2 linked regions of the Saccharomyces cerevisiae S288C genome follow. The gene in region 1 interacts genetically with each later gene. Each region holds a gene or a part of one and is shown in the gene's direction. Other genes may lie near its edges. The genes, in order: DAN1 and ATC1.

Region 1 (11,404 bases):
CATCAAATTAACTTTTTTTGCAGTTCTGTCACTTAATCACAGATAATAAGAGCAGAACAATTTAGGCACGGGGAAATTCGATCGATCTGCCCATCCGTAGGCGTTTTCTCCGGAGAAGTTTTTACATGCTGCGCATTTCTTTGGCGGTGAAAAAGACAGTACATCGCGTGCCTTTAAAGATGTCAAAAATTATACGAGATCTGTTTAAGATCTCCATCGTTCAGGAACTGTAAAACAAGAAGCATTGGCAAAGATAGTGATTTTGCTCCAATATATTCGTTTATACAACAGCTGTTTGGTTCGAAAGCCTATAAATGGCCTGTGTAAATGGCTGTATTGAGAGTATGCTCAAACTGAAATAAGTACCAGTTCCTGTCGAATCTGCGATATCCGAAAAACTCCGAAGAAAGCAATGGTTAATATAAGCATCGTAGCAGGAATTGTAGCCTTAGCTACTAGTGCGGCTGCTATTACAGCGACCACTACTTTATCTCCTTACGATGAAAGAGTCAACCTTATTGAATTGGCTGTTTATGTTTCTGACATCAGAGCCCACATATTTCAGTACTACTCTTTCCGGAATCACCATAAGACTGAAACATATCCTTCGGAAATCGCAGCAGCCGTTTTTGACTACGGTGATTTCACTACTCGATTGACCGGTATTTCGGGTGATGAAGTAACTAGAATGATCACTGGTGTTCCGTGGTACTCTACCAGATTAAAGCCGGCTATCTCTTCAGCGCTTTCAAAGGATGGTATTTACACGGCTATCCCAACCTCTACTTCTACAACGACTACAAAATCTAGTACTTCGACTACTCCTACCACCACTATCACTTCTACTACTTCTACCACATCGACTACTCCTACAACCTCTACTACTTCTACCACTCCTACAACTTCTACCACATCGACTACTCCTACAACCTCTACTACTTCTACCACTCCTACAACTTCTACCACATCGACTACTCCTACAACCTCTACTACTTCTACCACTCCTACAACTTCTACCACATCGACTACTCCTACAACCTCTACTACTTCTACCACTCCTACAACTTCTACAACTTCTACCACTCCTACAACTTCTACCACTCCTACAACTTCTACAACCTCCACCACTTCTCAAACTTCCACCAAATCGACTACTCCTACTACTTCAAGCACATCGACTACTCCTACAACTTCTACCACTCCTACAACTTCTACAACCTCTACCGCTCCTACAACTTCTACAACTTCTACAACCTCTACCACTTCTACCATTTCTACCGCTCCCACGACCTCTACAACTTCAAGCACTTTCAGTACTTCTAGTGCCTCTGCATCCTCTGTCATTTCTACCACTGCTACAACCTCTACCACTTTTGCCAGTCTTACTACACCTGCCACATCTACGGCTTCTACTGACCATACAACCTCTAGTGTCTCAACAACTAACGCATTCACTACTTCTGCAACTACTACTACTACGAGCGATACATATATCAGTTCAAGTAGTCCCAGCCAAGTCACTTCATCCGCTGAGCCTACTACTGTCAGTGAAGTCACCTCTTCTGTTGAACCTACCAGGTCTAGTCAAGTCACTTCATCCGCTGAACCTACTACTGTCAGTGAATTCACCTCTTCTGTTGAACCTACCAGGTCTAGTCAAGTCACTTCATCCGCTGAACCTACTACTGTCAGTGAATTCACCTCTTCTGTTGAACCTACCAGGTCTAGTCAAGTCACTTCATCCGCTGAACCTACTACTGTCAGTGAATTCACCTCTTCTGTTGAACCTACCAGGTCTAGTCAAGTCACTTCATCCGCTGAACCTACTACTGTCAGTGAATTCACCTCTTCTGTTGAACCTACCAGGTCTAGTCAAGTCACTTCATCCGCTGAACCTACTACTGTCAGTGAATTCACCTCTTCTGTTGAACCTATCAGGTCTAGTCAAGTCACTTCATCCGCTGAACCTACTACTGTAAGTGAAGTCACCTCTTCTGTTGAACCTATCAGGTCTAGTCAAGTGACCACGACAGAACCTGTTTCTTCCTTCGGGTCTACTTTCAGTGAAATCACCTCTTCTGCTGAACCTCTCTCTTTCAGTAAAGCAACCACTTCCGCAGAATCTATCTCCTCTAATCAAATCACCATTTCCAGTGAACTAATAGTTTCTAGTGTAATTACTTCCTCTTCTGAGATTCCTTCTTCCATTGAAGTACTTACTTCAAGCGGGATCAGTTCATCAGTTGAACCCACTTCTTTGGTTGGACCTTCTTCTGATGAATCCATTTCTTCTACTGAAAGTCTATCTGCCACATCCACTTTCACTTCAGCCGTTGTTTCCTCGAGCAAGGCTGCTGATTTCTTTACCAGATCCACTGTTTCTGCTAAATCTGATGTCTCTGGTAACTCCTCTACCCAATCTACTACCTTTTTTGCTACGCCTTCCACTCCACTTGCTGTTTCTTCAACTGTGGTCACTAGCTCTACCGATTCAGTTTCTCCTAATATTCCCTTCAGTGAAATCAGTTCCTCTCCAGAGTCGTCTACTGCAATTACGTCTACATCCACTAGCTTCATTGCTGAGCGGACTTCTTCCTTATATCTTTCGTCATCAAATATGTCAAGTTTCACTTTAAGTACTTTCACTGTTTCCCAATCGATCGTCTCTTCATTTTCTATGGAACCTACATCGTCAGTCGCATCTTTTGCATCAAGTTCCCCTCTCTTAGTATCCTCAAGAAGTAATTGCAGTGATGCCAGAAGTTCCAACACCATCAGTAGCGGTCTGTTCAGCACGATAGAAAATGTTCGTAATGCAACCTCAACATTTACAAACCTATCAACAGATGAAATTGTCATCACGAGCTGTAAGAGTAGTTGTACTAATGAAGATAGTGTTTTGACGAAAACTCAAGTTTCTACCGTTGAAACTACTATAACTAGTTGTTCGGGTGGTATTTGTACCACGCTGATGTCTCCGGTTACTACTATTAATGCTAAGGCGAACACATTAACAACTACAGAAACTTCCACGGTCGAAACAACTATAACAACATGCCCTGGTGGTGTTTGCTCGACCCTGACTGTTCCAGTTACTACAATCACCAGCGAAGCCACTACCACCGCTACCATTAGTTGCGAAGATAATGAAGAAGATATCACTTCTACTGAAACCGAGTTGCTAACTTTGGAAACTACTATAACTAGTTGTTCGGGTGGTATTTGTACCACGCTGATGTCTCCGGTTACTACTATTAATGCTAAGGCGAACACATTAACAACTACAGAAACTTCCACGGTCGAAACAACTATAACAACATGCTCTGGTGGTGTTTGCTCGACCCTGACTGTTCCAGTTACTACAATCACCAGCGAAGCAACTACCACCGCTACCATTAGTTGCGAAGATAATGAAGAAGATGTCGCCTCTACTAAAACCGAGTTGCTAACTATGGAAACTACTATTACTAGTTGTTCGGGTGGTATTTGCACCACGCTGATGTCTCCGGTTAGTAGTTTCAACTCCAAAGCCACTACATCGAACAATGCAGAGTCGACCATCCCCAAAGCGATTAAAGTCAGTTGCTCTGCGGGTGCCTGTACCACCCTGACTACTGTCGATGCAGGGATTAGCATGTTTACCAGAACCGGATTGTCTATCACTCAAACTACTGTGACCAACTGCTCAGGTGGAACCTGTACCATGTTAACTGCACCAATCGCGACCGCTACCAGCAAAGTCATCTCACCAATTCCAAAAGCCTCCTCGGCTACTTCCATTGCTCATTCATCTGCTTCTTATACTGTCAGTATCAATACCAACGGTGCCTATAATTTCGATAAAGATAACATTTTTGGTACCGCTATCGTTGCTGTTGTCGCTTTATTACTGCTATAGTGATACAATATAATCTTCACAAGCATATAAACAATTGTAAAATAATTTAAATTGACTTGAAAGAAATTTTAAATCTATACTTGATTCATGTAGCACATAATACTACGGTTTGTGAACATACTCCTATACACTTTGAATGGTTTGTATGATATACAGGTATCTAAACATTAGTGTTACCAGTTCGTATATTAACACTAGTTAAATTTGAATCCTCTAAGGTATCGCCAACAAGTAAAATTTTACATTTAATTGAGAAGTTTTTTAATTTTTCTAAGAAAACATTAAAAATATCACAATATGGGCTTCAGCCTAAAATTATGGTTTTTTTTTTCCCTCATCCTTCATTTTATTACCTCCGTTTATTGACGTGTTCGACAACTCACATATGAAGCTTTAAATACTTTGTTCACTGTTAGTTTAAATAAAATTTAGCCTTTAGGTTAAAAATCGTGTCAAAAAAGGAATTCTTCCAAGAACATGAACTAAAGCTCTTCTTAAAATAAAGTTATGTAAGATAGAACTACGCGGCACAAAGATGGAATTGAGAAATAACGCTCCATAAAGTTGACGCTGCTAAATTCTAGGTCACAAGGCATTAGAAATGAGGGCCTTTGAAAAAATTTATTCAAGTAAACTGCTTTCTGAAGAGTTCGCTCTCATCGACATTGGTAGAAGAATAGTGTAGTGTAGTAGCAACCGTTAGTAGTTTATTAATGTCTAAAATTCAGTATAACTAAGAATAGAAGCAAGTATTCTTATACGGTATAGCAGAAACGTATAACTGATGCGGCGATGACGAATGTATTCAAAATGATGGTATTTCAGTGATTTGCTATATTTCCAATGTAATAACTCGCATCCCTACGTATATTAAATTTGAATTAACATTGAATTAATAGATCTTTAACGTAACTTCTTCCGCTAGTTTCGCAGTAGTATCTTGTTTCCTAGCCTGGAGCTATGAAGTATACTGTTTGGTCACTTTATTCAGTTACTATGGTTACTAAAATTATAAACCACCCGTTCCGACAACGACAATGAAGATCTATTTTGCAAATTTGGAACAGAAATAACCATAACCATGAGGTTCGTTATCGTTGACTACATATTACAATCCGAAATGAACATTCGGCCTAGAATGCATTGTACCTTTACAATACTTTGTAAAACATCTTTCAATGTGTATTTTCCTAGCTTAGGTAACACAACTAGGTAACTTATTGGGATGGTTGAGTCTTAAGTGCAGGCCATTTATTATCAATACTGAATCTTGTATGTTTTTGTCAACTCTTGACAGAAAGCTTCAGTCAGCGAAGCAAACTTTCGACCTTCTGTATCATATTTTTCTGCTCTATTTATAGCGAAAGAGAGAAGCCTACAAGAGGATAAGTACTAATCTTGTGATTATTGATTTTCTCCAAAGATTGGGAAAATTACTTAGTTGCACAGCGGAAATGTTTCGATCTCTGACTTTGTAATCGTCAAAATATTCTAGCAGAGCGCAACTTATTTAATTCATACTGTGCGTTCTCCTTGTGGTTTCTAAGACAATCTTTGAGCATGTTTATGGATGCACTTAGGGGTCCTACAAGCCTTCGTATGAAGTTGCCCCTCGCAAGCACACTATAAATTCATGAACAATTGCGCAGTCAAAGTTAGATTGTAAGCCGAATTCAAACGATTTCAACAGTCGTAGCTAACGAGGCCTTTTGTCTCACACCCTTACAAAGGGACTGTAGAATGCAAGGGCAAACAGGCCTGAGGTAACTTTAAAATATAATGTACCTTGAAAACTATGTATACATTGCATTTATTAAGCAGTAGGGTATTTTGTTTGCAAGAAAATAAAGCTCAAAATATCTTTGGAGTTTGACAATAGTATAGAAAAAATAGCTCAGCAACCTTAATAAAAAAAGGGTCATTGGGCAAAGCGTTTTAAAAAGATTTAAGTGGTAGTGTTTAAAGTGAAAGAGATTGATATAGTTAAAAATTGTTGAGCTCAATTCACGCTGGATTCGGCGATCCGTTTTCTTCAATCCTCACGTGCTTTCTTCGTTTGAGTGCAAAAGTTCATATGATGCTATCTCCCGCTTATCTTATTAGTCGAAAATGGGGAGAATTTCCTATTTTATCTGTCGTTTAGCACATATGGCCAGGAAAATACATAAGGTTTCGCCGAACGACGGGGTCAATTCGTCCTTTTTGTACACATCGTTTAATTTATGAGGAAAAATTGATGAATGTATCCTCCGTAGACGCTCCTCTGAAAAGTTTCATGTTTCCTGCGCGTTCCTTTGATAGGCAATAAAACAATACAACGCGTGCCTTTGAAAATGCCAAGATCTATACGAGGCCTCTAACAAAACATCGTTCAGGAACAGAGAATGCTAGAAATGCAAAAGGGTCCCTGGGTACTCATTGAATAGAAATGATTGAAAATACTGCGTATAAAATAGCACGACTAAATGATACTATTTTTATGTCGACACGGTACTATTTCTTCTTTTTCAGATAAAAGTGTAGCATACTAAATATATACCCCAAGTAATGTCTAGAATTAGTATATTAGCTGTCGCCGCAGCATTAGTGGCAAGTGCAACCGCCGCATCCGTGACCACCACTCTATCCCCTTATGATGAAAGGGTCAATTTGATTGAATTGGCTGTTTACGTTTCTGATATTGGCGCCCATTTATCTGAATATTACGCTTTCCAGGCTTTGCATAAGACTGAAACATACCCACCTGAAATTGCCAAGGCTGTTTTTGCCGGTGGCGATTTCACCACCATGTTGACTGGTATTTCAGGTGATGAAGTGACCAGAATGATCACCGGTGTGCCATGGTACTCTACTAGATTGATGGGTGCTATTTCCGAAGCACTTGCGAATGAAGGTATTGCTACTGCAGTACCAGCTTCTACCACAGAGGCTTCTTCCACCTCCACTTCAGAAGCTTCTAGTGCCGCCACTGAGTCTTCTAGCTCCTCTGAAAGTTCAGCAGAGACCAGCTCAAACGCTGCTTCCACCCAAGCTACTGTTTCATCTGAATCTAGCTCTGCTGCAAGCACCATTGCAAGTTCTGCTGAAAGTTCTGTTGCAAGCTCTGTTGCAAGCTCTGTTGCAAGCTCTGCTAGTTTTGCCAATACCACAGCTCCAGTTTCTTCTACATCTTCTATCTCAGTCACTCCAGTGGTCCAAAATGGTACTGACAGCACCGTCACAAAGACTCAAGCTTCCACTGTTGAAACTACCATAACTAGTTGTTCAAATAACGTCTGTTCAACTGTGACTAAGCCAGTCTCCTCCAAAGCTCAATCTACAGCTACTTCTGTCACATCGTCAGCATCTCGTGTTATTGACGTTACCACTAACGGTGCTAACAAGTTCAATAACGGTGTTTTCGGTGCCGCTGCTATTGCTGGTGCCGCCGCTCTATTGTTATAGTGATCATGTGCGGCCCTGTACAGTTGTATAAATGATGTAAAATAATTGAATTCTCTTAATTTTAATATTTATAAGATATATACTATAAGCGTAAGGAAATTCCAAAGAAATTTGTTTTTTAGTTTGCAGTCTTGTGCTCCAACTATTTCCGGTCCTTTTCGAATTTCATGTCAGGAGCATTCCTTATTGCAGACAGCTTAACAGAAAAAAAACTGTGAAAAAAATAAATACCTTTAGATATTAAAGCCCTAAATTGATATCAAATTTTTTCCATATTTGGATTTTGTATTCCTTAAAGCCCACATCCTGTGAACGGTTACGCTCAAATAATGGCCAAGTAACCTACGATCCAATAGCGACGTATATATATCATATAGAAAAAGGTCATCCAGAAAATTTGTGTCAATAAGTATCAGGTCTTTTATATGTATTTATATTATTTTCCGTCAATTTTCAATCTTGCGCCCATAGTTTCAATTTTCTTGTCTGTTGTGATTCCTGATTGGACATTCTGAAATCCTTGTCCAGCTAAAATAAAGTTAGCCAATTCTGGATACTTTTTTCTTACTTGCTTGAAAGCACTATACATGTAGCCATATGGAGGAAGCTCCTCACCTTGAAAATTAGCAATGACTTTTTCGATAAAAGGAGTAGAGATGGTCCTTGCAGGCTTTCCTGATATTATATTAACCATTTTAGTTGTTGTTTCTCGAGTGAAGGGGCTTGAAAAGTTTTTTGATGCATTGGATTCACTGCAACCAAGAAAAGCAGTCCCCACTTGAACAGCGTCTGCTTGCTGTGATAACATGTATGATATATCTTTGGAATCCATTATACCACCTGCTGCAATGACAAAGGGAGTAGCATGTATAAGACCTTTATTTTTCATTTCAGCAAGTTCATCAACTGTTCTTTTCACCAATTGTACAGTTGATAAGTTTTCATCATCTTTGGGGTCATTTACTAAGAAATTTCCTCTATGTCCTCCCGCTTCATAGCCTTGACACACTATGCCATTAATGCCGAGACGTGCTAACAATCGAACTTCTCTTACAGAGGTGGCAGTCACAAAAATTAGAATTCCAATTTTTTGTAAATATTCTATTGTAGATTTCGACGGATGGCCAAAATGGAAACTAATGATTTTAGGCCTAAAGCCATCTGATAGGTACTGGAAAAAATCTTGAAGAGCATTTTCTTTTTCAAATGCCTTAAAAGATACATTACCATTATCGAATTTAATCTCATTCATATCAATCGGCACATTCATAGACTTTCTGTATAGCTTCGCCCAGTTAGCTGTTTGAAGATCGGTCGGTTTATCAACGATATCATGGCAAAAAAAGTTTAGGTTGAGATTGCCCTCTAAAGATTCATCGGCTACTTGATCTCTGAATTGTGAAACCATCAGTTTAAGCTTTTCAATATCATTGACCTTTCTGAAGTCTAAGTGGGATAGGGGTAGTGAAGCTATGGCGCCCGCAATACAAGCCTTAGCGGCCATTTCAATAGTCGTGACCCCCGCCATAGGGGCCTGGATGATAGGGTATCTCAAGTTTAAACATTTTTGGAAAGATCTGCTCATATCTTCTCTTTTATCCACCGACATTACGGAAACGTCTTGAAATATTAGTTGGTTTAAAAAGTACATGAATTGTCTTGAGTTGCTTCTAAGGTATGTATGGGCCCTTTTCTATCCGCGCAAAAGATGTCCTTGATACCGATAGGCCAGCACTAGATGACAAGAAAAAAAACGAAAGGATAATTGCAGGTTTCGACATACATTTTTTATCAGATCACTGCAAAATCCAGGAATTCATATATACAATGTCAAAGGGTATGTTATATTCTGACATGACCCCTTAACTCAGTAGAAAAAACGCTCTAGTTTTATTCTTTTTAACTTTTAATTACTTTACGTAGCAATAGCGATACTTCAGTTCAAATCAGTAACAACCCTTGACCAATTGCCATGCTCAGTCTCGCCATATTGGATTCCATTAATCCATTGTGCAACTTCTTTGGCCAATGGACCGGTTTGTTCGCCGGGCAACAACGGAATATTAATTTGTTCGCCTTTCCAGCCGATTTCCTTAATGGGAGAAACAATCGCAGCAGTACCAGAACCAAAGGCTTCAAGTAGTTCACCGTTCTTGGATCTCTCAGTAACTTCGCCTATAGTGAAGTAGCGTTCACTAATGGTCCATTCACTTGGTTCGAGTCTTTCTTTAGCAAGATTTAAAATGGAATCCCTAGTAACACCTTCCAAAATGGTACCGTCTAGTGGAGCAGTAACTAGTTCCTTCTTGCCCGTTTTACTATCTTTAAACACGAAAAAAGCATTCATGGTGCCGACTTCAGTAATGTTGTTATTTGGACCAAATAGCCATAAATTTTGTTGGTAACCCCTTGAAGCAGCTTGCAATTGTGGCAGGACGCAGGGGGCGTAGTTTGCACCTAGTTTCTTGTCACCACAGCCTCCTGGCCAAGCTCTTGTGGCATAATCAGTGGCTTCCAGTCTGACCGCCTTAAATCCAGTTTTGTAATAAGGACCCACAGGGCAGCAAATGACATATAGCAAGGCTCTATCAGGCGTGGAAACCCCTAAACCGGCCGTAGTGCCGATTAATGTAGGCCTGATATATAAAGAGTAACCTTTTCCTTCAGGAACTAAGCACTTATCTTGCTGGATCAGTTTCCCAATTAGGGTAATCAACTCTTCTGGGTCGAACGTTGGCAAACAGATTCTCTGAGCAGACTTATTCATGCGCTTCATATTCATATCTGGACGAAACATTGTAATTTTGTTGTCCACCGTTCTGTAAGCCTTCATCCCTTCGAATAGCTCAAAAGCATAATGGAAAACCACCGCGGAAGGGTCTAAAGACAGATTTTGATAAGGTTTAATCTCTGGGGTACCCCACCCTTTTTCAGCTGTCCATTCCGCAGTTAACATGTGGTCCGTGAAGCTCTTGCCAAACACTAACTCACTGTTCGGTTTTGGCTTAGATGCATGTTGTGTGGTAGTTATCTTAACTTTGGAGGCGTCTAGGGGTGCCAAGGTCATATCGTTCTTAAAACTCGTGGAGATGCTTTCCCTTAAATTTCTAAAATTTTAGTAGTTAGTCTGTTTTTATTAAGGATTTCTCAAAGGAATGAATTTTTTCCCAGGAAATAGTCGAATATCTTGTAAGCTTATATTAGTTATACTGTCAGCTCATTTCGGATCTCCTCTCACTCACGTACGGCTCTTAATTTCTACCTATTATTTCCGTTTTTGTTGACAGAAAAACGGACATAGAAGAACGACACCAAAAAGAAAAAGAGTCGGATCTACAGATTAGATAACAAGAGGTGTCAGAGAGGGAAAAGAAGCTAAATTAAGTGTCACCCGAAAGCGGAAAAAGAACGCCGTTTGCAAGAATGGTTCCGGGGCCAATGGAACATTAAACTTTGGTGTAGTGCGGTCACAGAAAAAAAAAATCGTACACGTATATAGTGGTATGCTAGGTCGTGAATGACCCTCAGAGGCAGGTTTTCACGTTCGAAGATGTTTGGAAAGGAGCGTTATAAGTTGTGTTGGGGTGAAGGGGCTAACTAGGATGTCACTGAACCCCAACTGCAAAAAATGGTGGAAATAATAGCGAGAGTAGTTGGAGGGAGCAATGCTGGTATCTTGAGGGGAGACGGGTCTGTTAATAATGGCTATTACAGGAAAGCTTGGGAGTAGGTTTCTCAGTCTCTTGAAGTAGATGAGATGTTCTTGTTGCATGTTGGGCGACACGGTGACGAAAAGAAGGTCGTATGCCTCGGGATGCAACTGCGGGTGCCACTGAGTGGCCGTATCCAAAGAGCAGTTCATAAATTCGAACACGCCGGCGAAGCGCATCAAAGGTGTTTCTGACAATTCGGATGCGTTTGGTATTAGTAACAGCAACGAGTAGCGTTTGGGGCGCTTTGGTTGGCGTTGCTGGTGTTGTAGACAAGAGTCCGGGCATACAACCTTTTTGATGGCTTCAAAATTTTCTTGAAGGAAGTTAGCGGTTTGGTAGGCGTGAAACT
Region 2 (11,350 bases), on another chromosome or scaffold:
TAGCACCGGTAATAGCATTTCTTAGTACGCGGTAGGAATCCCAAATACCCTCGATGGTAGGGTCGCAAGAATCACCTATGTTCAAGTCCACACCAACATATCTCGTTTCGTCAGAATCCTGAGCGTCATCCAACTCGTCCTCCACCATTGCGAGCACGTCCAATGGGTCGAATCCTGAGTTCTTCACCAAAGTCTTTGGAATTACCAGCAATGCTTCTGCGAACGCCTCAATACCTGTCTTTGTTTTACCCTTGGCACCCAACTTGTTCATGTTGGCAGATCTTAGGTATCTCGAAAGGGCGATGTAGAACGCACCAGCGCCTGGAATGATGTTTTTGTCCTTGAGAACGTTTGCCACAGCTCTGAGACCATCTCTCACCGCATCCTTTGTTTGAGCGAGGGCATAATGAGTGGAGCCCTTGATTAAGATGGTGCAAGACTTGGGGTCAGTGTTCTCTGTAACGTATGTGAATTTTTCCTCGCCTATGGTTTCTTGGTAGACCAAGCCAGAAAACCCAAGAATCTGAGGCGACAAGTCTTCCACAGAGTTCTGAGCTTCACCGCCAGTGACCAATTGCAATCTTTCCATGTTACGTCTCTTGGCCCTTCTCAAAGCCAAGATGTTGTGTTTGGCAAACACGTCTAAAGACATGGGGTCAATGCCTTTTTGGTTAATGATAACAAAACCCTTGTCTGGATCCATGCCACAAACTTCGTTTTTCAAGTCGATGATCTTCTTCAACTTGGCATCCACAAACTTCCTCTCACTAGCGGCCAACTTGTCCCTTTGGTCCGCAGAACTGTAAAAGAACCCAGAGTTAACTTCAGTCTTCTCGTATTCCAAAGATACGTTCAAAATCAAAACATACGCGTTCTTCACACGGGTGGGCATGTCAGGATGCCTACCACCGTGGTCCAATACCAAACCCTTAATAAAAGTGGTATCTTTAGGAGACAAGTGCTGCATCTGCATGATCTCAACCATGTGTAAATCCAAATTGTCAGCCTGCGCGTCGTACACGCTTAGCACCGCATCCGTTACAATGGGCGTCAAGACCTCCGTCAAGTCAGCGTCCACCTTGGTTAGCAGCGACGACCGGGCCACTTGCAGAAGGAACTCTCTATCATTGGAAAGGTTCGTCTTACTGATCTTGAATTCGTCCAAAAATTTCATGGACTCCTTCCGCGCAATCTCAAACCCATCAGTGATGATCCGCGGATGCACGCCCTCTTGAATGAAACGGTGCGCTTGTCTAAGCAATTCACCCACAAGACACACAACCGTCGTGGTCCCATCGCCCGTGATTTCATCCTGCGCGGCAGCTGCCCTAGCAATCAGTACCGCTGTAGGCGACTGGATCTGCATCTCGGTCAGCAACACTTTACCGTCCTTGGTCAGCTTGATGTTACCAGCACCATCCACAAGCATCTTTAGCGTGCCCTTAGGGCCCAAGTTGGTCTCTAGGACGGATTGTAAGCCCTCAGCAGATGTGACGTTAACCTTCAAAGCCGCATCCCTTCTCAACGATTCAGCCTTCGGATTCAACAATTGCAATGACATGCTTCTACTCTACTTATATTATAATCTTCTGCTTCTCACTGCTTCCACACCCTTAACCTTTACCTTTTCCACACACTGCACACATACACTGTTATACATAATCCTTTCCGTCTTTCGTTCGTTTCTTACCAGAATAACAACTACTAACACATCACCGAGCGAAAATTTTGCCACCAAAGCAAAACTCCCGTAAACAGTGATCCACGGCCCGTATCCATTCTGCCGCAGAACCCACACCTCTCACTCTATCGAAAAACAGCCTACTCCCAGGGTCCCCAAAATGAAAGCTCACTGCAATGGGAAACGATAATCACAACAAGGGAATGCAATTAAAGAAAGATATACGGTACACGAAAGGGAGAAGCGACGGCGTTAACCTATTTGCAAACGACCGAGTCAGACAGCTCAGGTCCAGTCACGTTAAAGTGGGTTACTTTGAGCTGAGGTGTGCGGTTGCGGGGCGTGGGTGTGCGCGCCGTTGCCATGCTTACCGTTCTCGTTGCGCTCGTTGCTCGTATTGCCTCGTCTGTTCTTGTCTCGTAGCTTTTTTATTATTTGGGTTAATCGCGTTGTTGAACAAGAAAGTATGATAGTTGTTGAACCGGCCCCTCGTCCCGTTCTATCTTTCTACGGGTGTCGTGTCTATTATTTTATTGTTTTCCTACTAAGGTTCTTTGCTATTGTTCTTTTAATTTTTGGTTTGTAGCTGACTACACGTTTCAAACCCAATCTTGGCAGCCCGGATCTTCATCACTCAGCTTTTCCCTACTTTTTTTTTTTTTCGTTTCCTTTTTCTTCTTTTCTTTTTCTATTTAAGAGAGAAGTTGGCGAACTTGAAGTACACATACACGCTCTCCCTCGCATCCCGGAGCTCGCAATCAACCACTATTACTAATCACATCCTAAATTTTGGGAAGCCTACACTACGATGGACACTGTCGGTACGGACGCAGCAGCCGCGAGCATTAATGAGCGTCGCTTTGCCCAGTCCACTTCACCAAAAGTTAGTGTGAAGTCACAGGACTCGCTGTTTCTGATCACTTACTCCAACATGCAGCAGACAGTGGTACAAGCGTCTTTGGCGGACCGGTACCCTTCGCTAAAGAAGCTTAACATCCTACTTTACATAGATATCCCTACGATCGACTACTACAACGATGAGATGACTCATAACAAGCTTTCCAGACTGAATAAACGGTTTAAGCTGCATCGGCTTAGAAATTCGATCGCGCAAAGTTTTTCCAACACATCTACTGCGGAAGATAACGATAAGTTTTGGGAGGAGTTGAAAAGTCTGATCAGCTCTCGCAGCACACCGGAAAACAAGTTTGATCTGAATGTACTGGTGTCGTCTTCGGGGTCTTTACGTTACGTGGAGACCATAAGATTTTTGGTTGAAAAATTGTTTAATTCTTTCAAAGACTTGTATGTTCAAAAGAAACTAAACCTATGTTTCCAGATCAACGTTTCTCCCACCTCTCTCAAGTGGTTTTCTACTTTCCTGAACGCAGAACTGCTTAATTTAAAAATCATTAATTGGCAGAATATTGGTTCTTTCACTAAGACAATCCAGAACTCCAAGTCACTCCCGTTCAAAGAGTACTACACCAAGTTGAACGAGAAATTCACCGGCTCAAACCAGAGCAATGGTAGCATGCAAGACCAGACTGTCTTGGATTCCATAGTTATTGTCACGAATAGCACGGGGGTAAAAGCACTGCTGACTTTGTTGTCAGACCACCCTCTCACCAGCCTTATCTCCCAGGAATCAATAAAAGCGCTACATGAATATTCAGATGCTGTTAACGAAGATAAGGGCGACGACCAGAGCAACACAAGTTTGAAAAGAAACTCTTCGTCGTTGTTGAATTTTCAAAACTCGGTTTTAACCTCCAATAAAGACAAGTCCGTCAGAATTAGGTCGTTGTCTATCAACAGAAAATCCAACAGGGCACATATGTTCAAAACGAACGAATCCATCACAACTATCCCATCAACGTCAATCAACAATCTTATTGGTCAGGAATCCAACCTACGCAAGCAGCCTTCGGGAACTGCACTGCATTTACAATCGCATCTGCATCCACATTCCCGTTCACAATCCTATTCTAGTTCTAATATGTCCAGATCGCCTTCTCCCTTCCCCTACGGAAAGACACCATCAAACGACGAACTAGTATATGACGAGTTAAACAACCAAATCAACGAAGTGCAAGACCGTGCTAAGAATGAGGAAATTGTCCTGTACAACAATAATAATTATGACGATTATACAAAAGAACGAGGGGAACAAGAGCAGGATAGAACCTCATACGCAGATGAATATGGCTTTAATTACGATGATGAAGAAGGTGGAAATGAAGACAACTATGATGATGATGAAGACGATGATGACGATGATGACGATGACGATGAGAGTGACGATGAAGGTTTGAGCTTTTACGCTCCAAGCATTTTGTCCCGCTCTGGTTCGAGCACAGACGTGTTATCCTCCGGAATAGATTCTATGGCAAAAAATTCGAAGGAAACAAGGGGTAGGTTTAGGTCCTTGAGTTTAATGGACCCTGCTCTGCAAAAGCCGTTCAACCAGAAATTTCCAAACAGCCAACAACCCGATTCTGCAGGGGCTTCATCACCTAAAAGATCGACCTCTTCAAACCATTTTACTAACGTCTACGTGCACGATGGTGATTTTGACGGGACAGACACTATCAACAACAAAAAGAATCTATCGTCTGCAACGCTTATTAAAAGGAAATCTTTGATGAACAGAAACTTGGCTCCTTCTATTAGTAATGGATTGATACCTCCGGAATTTATTTCCCGAATATCTACGCCCTCTACAAGCGCAAGTAGTTCAAACTCCTCGTTGAATGACATGTCTACAGTATCAAACGCATTTTCCAAATTATTAAATGACACAAGTAAGAAGCAAAAATTCTTGAATTCACCAATTCCACAACATACACAACAGGCATCTCCATTACTAATGAGAAATAATTCAAACAGTAACTTGCTATTTGAGAAGAATTTGATCAACAAGTCATTTGAAGAACTGAGAAGACAACCATCAGTTAACCTTTTTAGCACCTTGATGAATGGTAACATGGAAAAGAATGGTTTGGCACTAAACTTCAAGTCCAGAACGCCTACAGATGCGTTGATGGCGAATAGCATTAAAAATAGTAACAATTCCAGTCATAGGTTACTAAATCTCGAGGAAGAAGACCAAATCATGTCTGGATCTCTCCCCAAAGAACGCGAGGACGATAACGATTCGACTAATAGCACAATAGTACCGAATCACCCAGACAATGATAACTATAATGATAATGATAACGACAATAATACTGGTATAAATTCCAATAATTTCAATCTAAATCTCTATGATGACAATGATAGTGCAGGCTTTACAGATGTAACAACTGAAGGAGTGAAATACTCAAACTCGAATTCTACAGTCACCAAACCCGTTTATAAAAAAGCCGTCACCCTGGATTTATACGGCGAAGATGATATGGATAACATGGGAGGATGGGTATTAGGAGGTAATGCCCGGTAAAATAATCACCTGAAAAAAACTAGGTTAAGCACAAGGCAAGGGAAAAAGCCAAATTACACATATACTTGATTATAAATAGATTAGTAAAACATATATTCTAAATTAAAACAGCACTTTAACCGATATTGTATTTTTTTTTTTGGGTTTACGTGATACTGCGTAAATCTTCAATTTTCAGGGCTTTGTCCGCAAGGGGCCCGTTTATTTATCAAAAAAAGTAATGAGATTTTCGAAGAAAGTTCATAAACCTATAGATCTTGTTACATTTGGCAAGAAAACAATAAGTGGGATCTGCGGTCCAAGCAACGCATTTTCTTTTCTCTAATCGACAAGTTCAAGTAAATATTTCTATTAGTCATATATCTCTCGAGCTTATATATTAATAATGAAATCATTTCAAAAATCTTATGAATTCGATTACCCATGGGAGAAAGTCACCACGGCGAACTGGATGAAATATCCAAACAAGATCTCCACACACGTTATTGCAGTCGATGTGCTCCGCCGAGAGCTCAAAGAACATGGCGATGTACTTCTTACAGAACGGCTGATAACCATACGTCAGAACACCCCTCACTGGATGTCCATTTTAGTGGGGAACACTAATTTAGCATACGTGCGAGAGGTCTCCACCGTTGATCGAAGGGACAGATCTTTAACTATGAGGAGTTGCAATATGACCTTCCCGCATATTTTGAAGTGTTACGAAACCGTACGTTATGTTCCTCATCCGAAAAATCCATCGAATGTGACTCTTTTCAAGCAGGATGCAAAGTTTCTGTCTGGTGTTCCGACCAAAACCTTTAGTGAGAAAGTAGAAAACTGGGGCGTTAAACGTTTTAGTGATAACGCGGTGAAGGGGAAAGTCGGGTTTGATAGTATTCTAGCAATGTTCAACGATATCTGGAAAAATGCTAACGAATAAAAAAAAATACATCTTTTCTCAAGCATTTTTTCTCAAGCATTTTTTCTCAAAAAAATAAGGATTTATAGCCTCTTTGCATATAACTACACTCAGAAACTCAAAAATAAGTGAATAGATTAATTTGCCAAAATAGTTTCTATAGCGTGTCTTTCTCTTTTTGCAAACTCGTGTCATCTTGATATAAATCAAATATTTTCTGTCATTTTTTTTTCTCTTTTTTTTCAGTTTCTAGAATTTTTTTTTTCCACTTTAGCGATGAGATGAAAAATTTCCAAAAAACATGCGGTACGGTATTTTCAATGAAAAATTTCAGAGGGCTAGTGCCCTATTGAAGAGCTCAATACTTGATTGAAGTTTTGACATCTTAAATTTTGTTGGTTCAAGTTACACTAAGGTTGTGATAGGGAAAACGTGAAGATAATGAACACGAATCAGTCCAATCCGAATACAGATTTAACAGATGATGCCAATATAGAACATACGTTGCATCGGCTGCTCACTCAGGCAAATAATCATTTTGATGATACAGTAAAGATTGATGGGCAGAGTTTAGATTTGGGAAAGGATCTCGAACAAGTTATGATGGATAATTTAGACTGCACTGATATTTTTGATTCCGACATCGCTTCTCAGAAACACCTAACATTGGAATCTTTATTTAACGATGAACACAACACCGATTCGAGCACACTTTTGGAAATGCAGAGAAGTGCTAATGATAGCCTAGTTGGTATTGATCTCGATAGGCATAAAAAGGGTTATACTGGCAAGGCATCATTAGATAAAAGTACAAACCAAAATAACGTACATAAACCTGATAAAGAACAAAAGAACTATAAGATAGATAAACCCACCATCAAGAAGAAAAAATCCCTTTTGAAAACCACAAATGAACCCATGTTATCCCCTGCATCCCTATCACCTTCATCTTCGTTAGCTTCATCCGACGCTAATGAATCCCACCTAAAAATAGAATCCATGATTACTGATATAACATCTAAAATAGATTCTGCAAGACAAGACATTGTATCTGCAACGAAGCCTGCTAAGTTCACAAATGAGTTTACAATAAGTCAAATTTCGGAAATGAAGGCAAGAATAATTAATACTCATAAATTGCTGCTCAATTTCAATTTTATTAAAGAAGGTTACGCGAGATCTTGTATTCAATTGAAAAAATCTATGGACTCTTTAAAGGATAGTGAAATTCACAGAGCACATTTATTGGTTGAGAATGATGACTTGAAGCAACAAATCCTAGAACTTACTCAAAAACTCAATGAAAAATCATCCAAGGAAAGTTAAATTTAGAGTTAGTTCTGCTAAGTTTATCTGCATTTATTGGTTTTTTTGTCTTTACTACAAAGATGGTCCAATTTTATATACAATATACACTACCTTTCTCAGTCATCGTTATTCGTACTCAACTTTTATTATTTTAAGGAACACAGTCGCATTTTTGAGTTTCATGTATAAACATTACTATACGCATATTTCGTATTTAACTTTCTATAAATCCCCCAAAACGTTTTATTAAATTTTCAACGGTACGCTCGAATAACCGATTTAGTTTGAACAGGAGGAACCATTTTCGCTCATGCGTATGGCTTAAAAGACCATCGAGTCATTTTTAGTAGGGAGGTAATGGTTATTTAGTTATATATCTAAATCACTATCACTTTCACTTCTATCATGATTTGTAGAAGCGAAGCGTTCCGTATTCACAGATGAATGCTTTCTTATTTCGAATGTGTCTTCTATAACACCTGAATGGGCTAAAGATTGCTCTAGCCTCCTAATATCAAACCCATTAGGGTCATTTCCCAGTTTACTAAATCCTACGTAGCGAACTTTTTCTAGGCCATTCTTGTATCCAACTACAAACGGAAGTACTTTAATATTCAGTTTATTAACCAAAAATGGACATGTTTGGACGTTTACTTTAATAAATCTCGTGGTTAGATACCTCTTTGCCAAGTTTTCCAGTTTTTCATTCATATACTGGCACTTACCGAATGTTTCTAATTCAAAATGTATGACCACCATAGTAGTCTTTGTACATATTTGGATAGCATCTGCCTCGTTATCAATGCACTGCAATCTACCGTATCCGTCATCCTCAACATTCTTCTTGACCTGTTTTAAATGATCTGATATTTGTTGTAGCCTCTCCGACCGATAAGCACTCAAAAATTCATGATCCTCGTCTAATTCTCTATCCAATTCATTAAGTAGTTCATCTAAATTTTCCTCGCCACTACTTTTGTCATCGCTATCGACAGTTGTGTGTTTATCCTTTTCAGCATTTGAAAGCACATTTGTGTAGTATCTGTCTAATTTATCTTCCATATTAATTTAATCTTCATATACGTATGAGTTGTTAAGAGAATGGAGTATTTTCGTTAATCTTTTGTACTTCATCCTACTTTCGTGTTTTTTAAACTCTAAAAATTACACTACTATGATCACTATATTGCTATGGAATAATAAAAAGCAAAAACGAAAGATTGAAAGGAAAGTCGTCCTTTTGTATCCATCTTTTAAACAAAGCTTACAAAGAAATTTGCCGTCATGACTTGCTAAATTTGATATAAAACTAAAGGAACCAACAACTTACCTAGGTGTTCTTTTTTGTCCCCGTATAGTGAAGTAATTGGTGTTACGCCCAGTCCTGCAGTTTTAGCTTGGACCACAAAACATAATGCAAATCCAGTAGAGGTTATGCAAACTGTTTGGTGAGCATAGTAATACCACACCCGGTATAATTTATATCTCTTGTTCATTGTCTGTATATAAGGTGTATTCGCATATATTAAATAGCCAGACGTTTCCCTTCAAAGCATTTTGATCCTGGAAGAGAATAGCAGTAATTCTGTCTAGACTACAGTATAAAAATAAATAAAAATGGGCATCACAGAAACAAAAAGGACAATTGCATTAACTAGAAATTGTTTGATCGAACGCGTATCATTCACAGCGTATTTACTATGTGTCAATGATTTTTTGGATTTCGATTTGGAAATACTTGTAGGTAATGGCAAATCTGAGGTGTTACCATCAGGTCGTGTAAATACTCTGTTCATTATGGTTGCTACGCGATTATTAAAAGATTTTGGGAAAAAATGCATGTATGCGATAAAGGCAGCAGAGAATAATAATCCCCATAGGTACATTCTGATTGCCTTATAGGGATCTGGCATATAGCATAGCTCTGTTTGGTAAGTTTTTGATGCATACTCTCCGCCGGCATTTACCATTGTCAAATCTGAAGGATTATATAAGGAGAGCAATTGAATAGCAGGCCTACTGATCCCCATGTTCATTGCACATGACTTTACTGTAATTTCTTGAGCATTTTTAGTTTTCCCCTGAAACGGATATGAGTGTGATATCTGACAATGGTCATGATCATCCCCGGAAAATAATATTTCTGGTTGAATTTTCGTTAAAATTTCTTGTGATATATCGTTTTCTATAACTGTCTGGTACTGGTGCCCTTTCTGAATAGGAAAAGGTTCTTTGGATTCACGTAGCTGACCGCACGTTTGCTGTTCTGGATCCCTCCATAATGGAACGTGAGTTAAAAGAATTCTAGGAAGCGGATGTGAACCCATTGCAAAATTATCCAAAAACTGTCTAGGAACCCTCGAGACATTCGGATTTGTTTTATCAGAAAGCGAAATTGTATCTAAAAGTACAAAGGTATGATTTCCAGCGTCTAATGAGGAGGAAGTTTCTCCAAAGTAACTAGAAAATCTCTGTAAACTCGATTCAACAACTGTGTCTCCAAAACCAATATCGTGATTACCTGGTAAAGACATGACCGTTCTTCTCAGTGGCTTCTTGGGGAATATTTGGTTGAATCGTGTGTACTCTTTAATCCATTGCTTATCATCCCAGTTTCTCCCTCCATCAAATAGATCACCTAGGAAAAAATTGCTATCAGGATCCAAGTAATACTGGACATATTTCCAATTTCTCCTGTGATAATGGTCAACAATCACTCTTGTAAAATAATTAACTATTTGAGGCCTCCCAGGATATGAATATTCGTCCATTATTTGTGGGTCTGCAAATAAACCCACCCTATGACTTTCAGCGCCTTCAGGCCAATCCTCCCAAGTCGACCATTGGCACTTCTTCATTGCTCTCTTCACAACCACTGATTCATAATAAGATATTAATCCTAACCATAAGATCCATACAATAGATATGTATCTCCAGTAGATTCTTAACCTCTTCTTGCTCCTGCTTTTTGATTTCTTTTTCGAACGTGATTTATAGTGGGCCTTATCGTCGCTCTTCTTGCTGTGTGTAGATAAAACGCTCTTTGACCTGTTACGATATACCATACTTCCTAGAGCTTATTGTCTAATGTATCCAACAGATTAGTAGAAGCGGTACTGTTTTCCCTTTCTTTTTGGTTATTGTTGTTTCCATAATCGTTCGTTCTACATTTTTAAAAATAAGAAAATCTAACCCGCGAGTTGATTTCAGCGATCTCAAAACAAAAAGTAGCAAGATTAAAAAGGAAAACCGAAAATTTCTACAGCATTAAAAGCATATGAGAGTTCATCAATGGGTATTTTTCAATCAATAGAAGAAGCAAATAATACTTCTGAGAGATTGCTGAGGTCTGAGATTAAAAATAGTCATGGAGAATTTGAAAAATTCGATTTTGATACAGAAGAATACGAAATTAACCCTAAAAGGAAGTTAAGATTAGTCAGCAGGATAAACCCAAATGCTGGACATCTAAGGAAATCTAAGTCCTGCTTTACTGTAGATGAGCATGTTGACGAAACGCGTTGTCAGAAACCTGTGATGAAGTCGCCGTTCATGAGTAATGTCGATGATGAGATCAAGAAAAAGAGAGAGACAATTACAAAGATGACACTAGAAATTGAACATCATGAATTGAGCCAGAATATTAGAAAACCAACTGATGATTTGCTTCCTGATAGCACGTATCAGCCTTACCACAAGAAAATGTTGAAGCAAGAAAATAGAATGATTCAATCGGACATCGTAAATGGTGAAAATGAAGCAGACAGGCTTTCATTAATTTCAGACAGACTGGGTATGTTGAATTGGGAAGTAACATTACAGAAGGTTACTAAAATAAATGACCCCACTGACGAGAATGAAATGGAGACTAAACGTTACCAAACTAAAGAGCTGATTGATTCAATGTTACATAAATTTGAATCTATGAAAAAAAAAAGCCGCAATTTAGCTAGAAGGCCAGCCTCAAGTGATTCATTGTTGAAATTGGTTAGTGGCAAAGATTGGCCCAAGATAT

The links.
Region 2: mutations in DAN1 (region 1) and ATC1 together harm fitness more than expected from each alone (negative genetic interaction), as found in Saccharomyces cerevisiae (2 studies listed by BioGRID).

What each region holds. Positions count from the first base shown.
Region 1 is NC_001142.9:704,749-716,152, reverse strand, and holds DAN1 (Dan1p), read left to right. Parts: upstream 1-6,445; coding exon 6,446-7,342; downstream 7,343-11,404. Other genes in the region: DAN4 (Dan4p), read left to right, coding at 413-3,898; YJR149W (putative nitronate monooxygenase), read right to left, coding at 7,779-8,993; branched-chain-amino-acid transaminase BAT2, read right to left, coding at 9,279-10,409; HMS2 (Hms2p), read right to left, coding at 10,881-11,404. UniProt on the Saccharomyces cerevisiae protein: Component of the cell wall.
Region 2 is NC_001136.10:826,632-837,981, reverse strand, and holds ATC1 (Atc1p), read left to right. Parts: upstream 1-6,468; coding exon 6,469-7,353; downstream 7,354-11,350. Other genes in the region: chaperonin-containing T-complex subunit CCT6, read right to left, coding at 1-1,561; SND1 (Snd1p), read left to right, coding at 2,490-5,123; UPS3 (Ups3p), read left to right, coding at 5,509-6,048; PLP1 (Plp1p), read right to left, coding at 7,705-8,397; YDR182W-A (uncharacterized protein), read right to left, coding at 8,628-8,831; putative lipid phosphatase CDC1, read right to left, coding at 8,925-10,400; SAS4 (Sas4p), read left to right, coding at 10,627-11,350. UniProt on the Saccharomyces cerevisiae protein: Involved in cation homeostasis and in the regulation of the cation stress signaling cascades. Also involved in bipolar budding.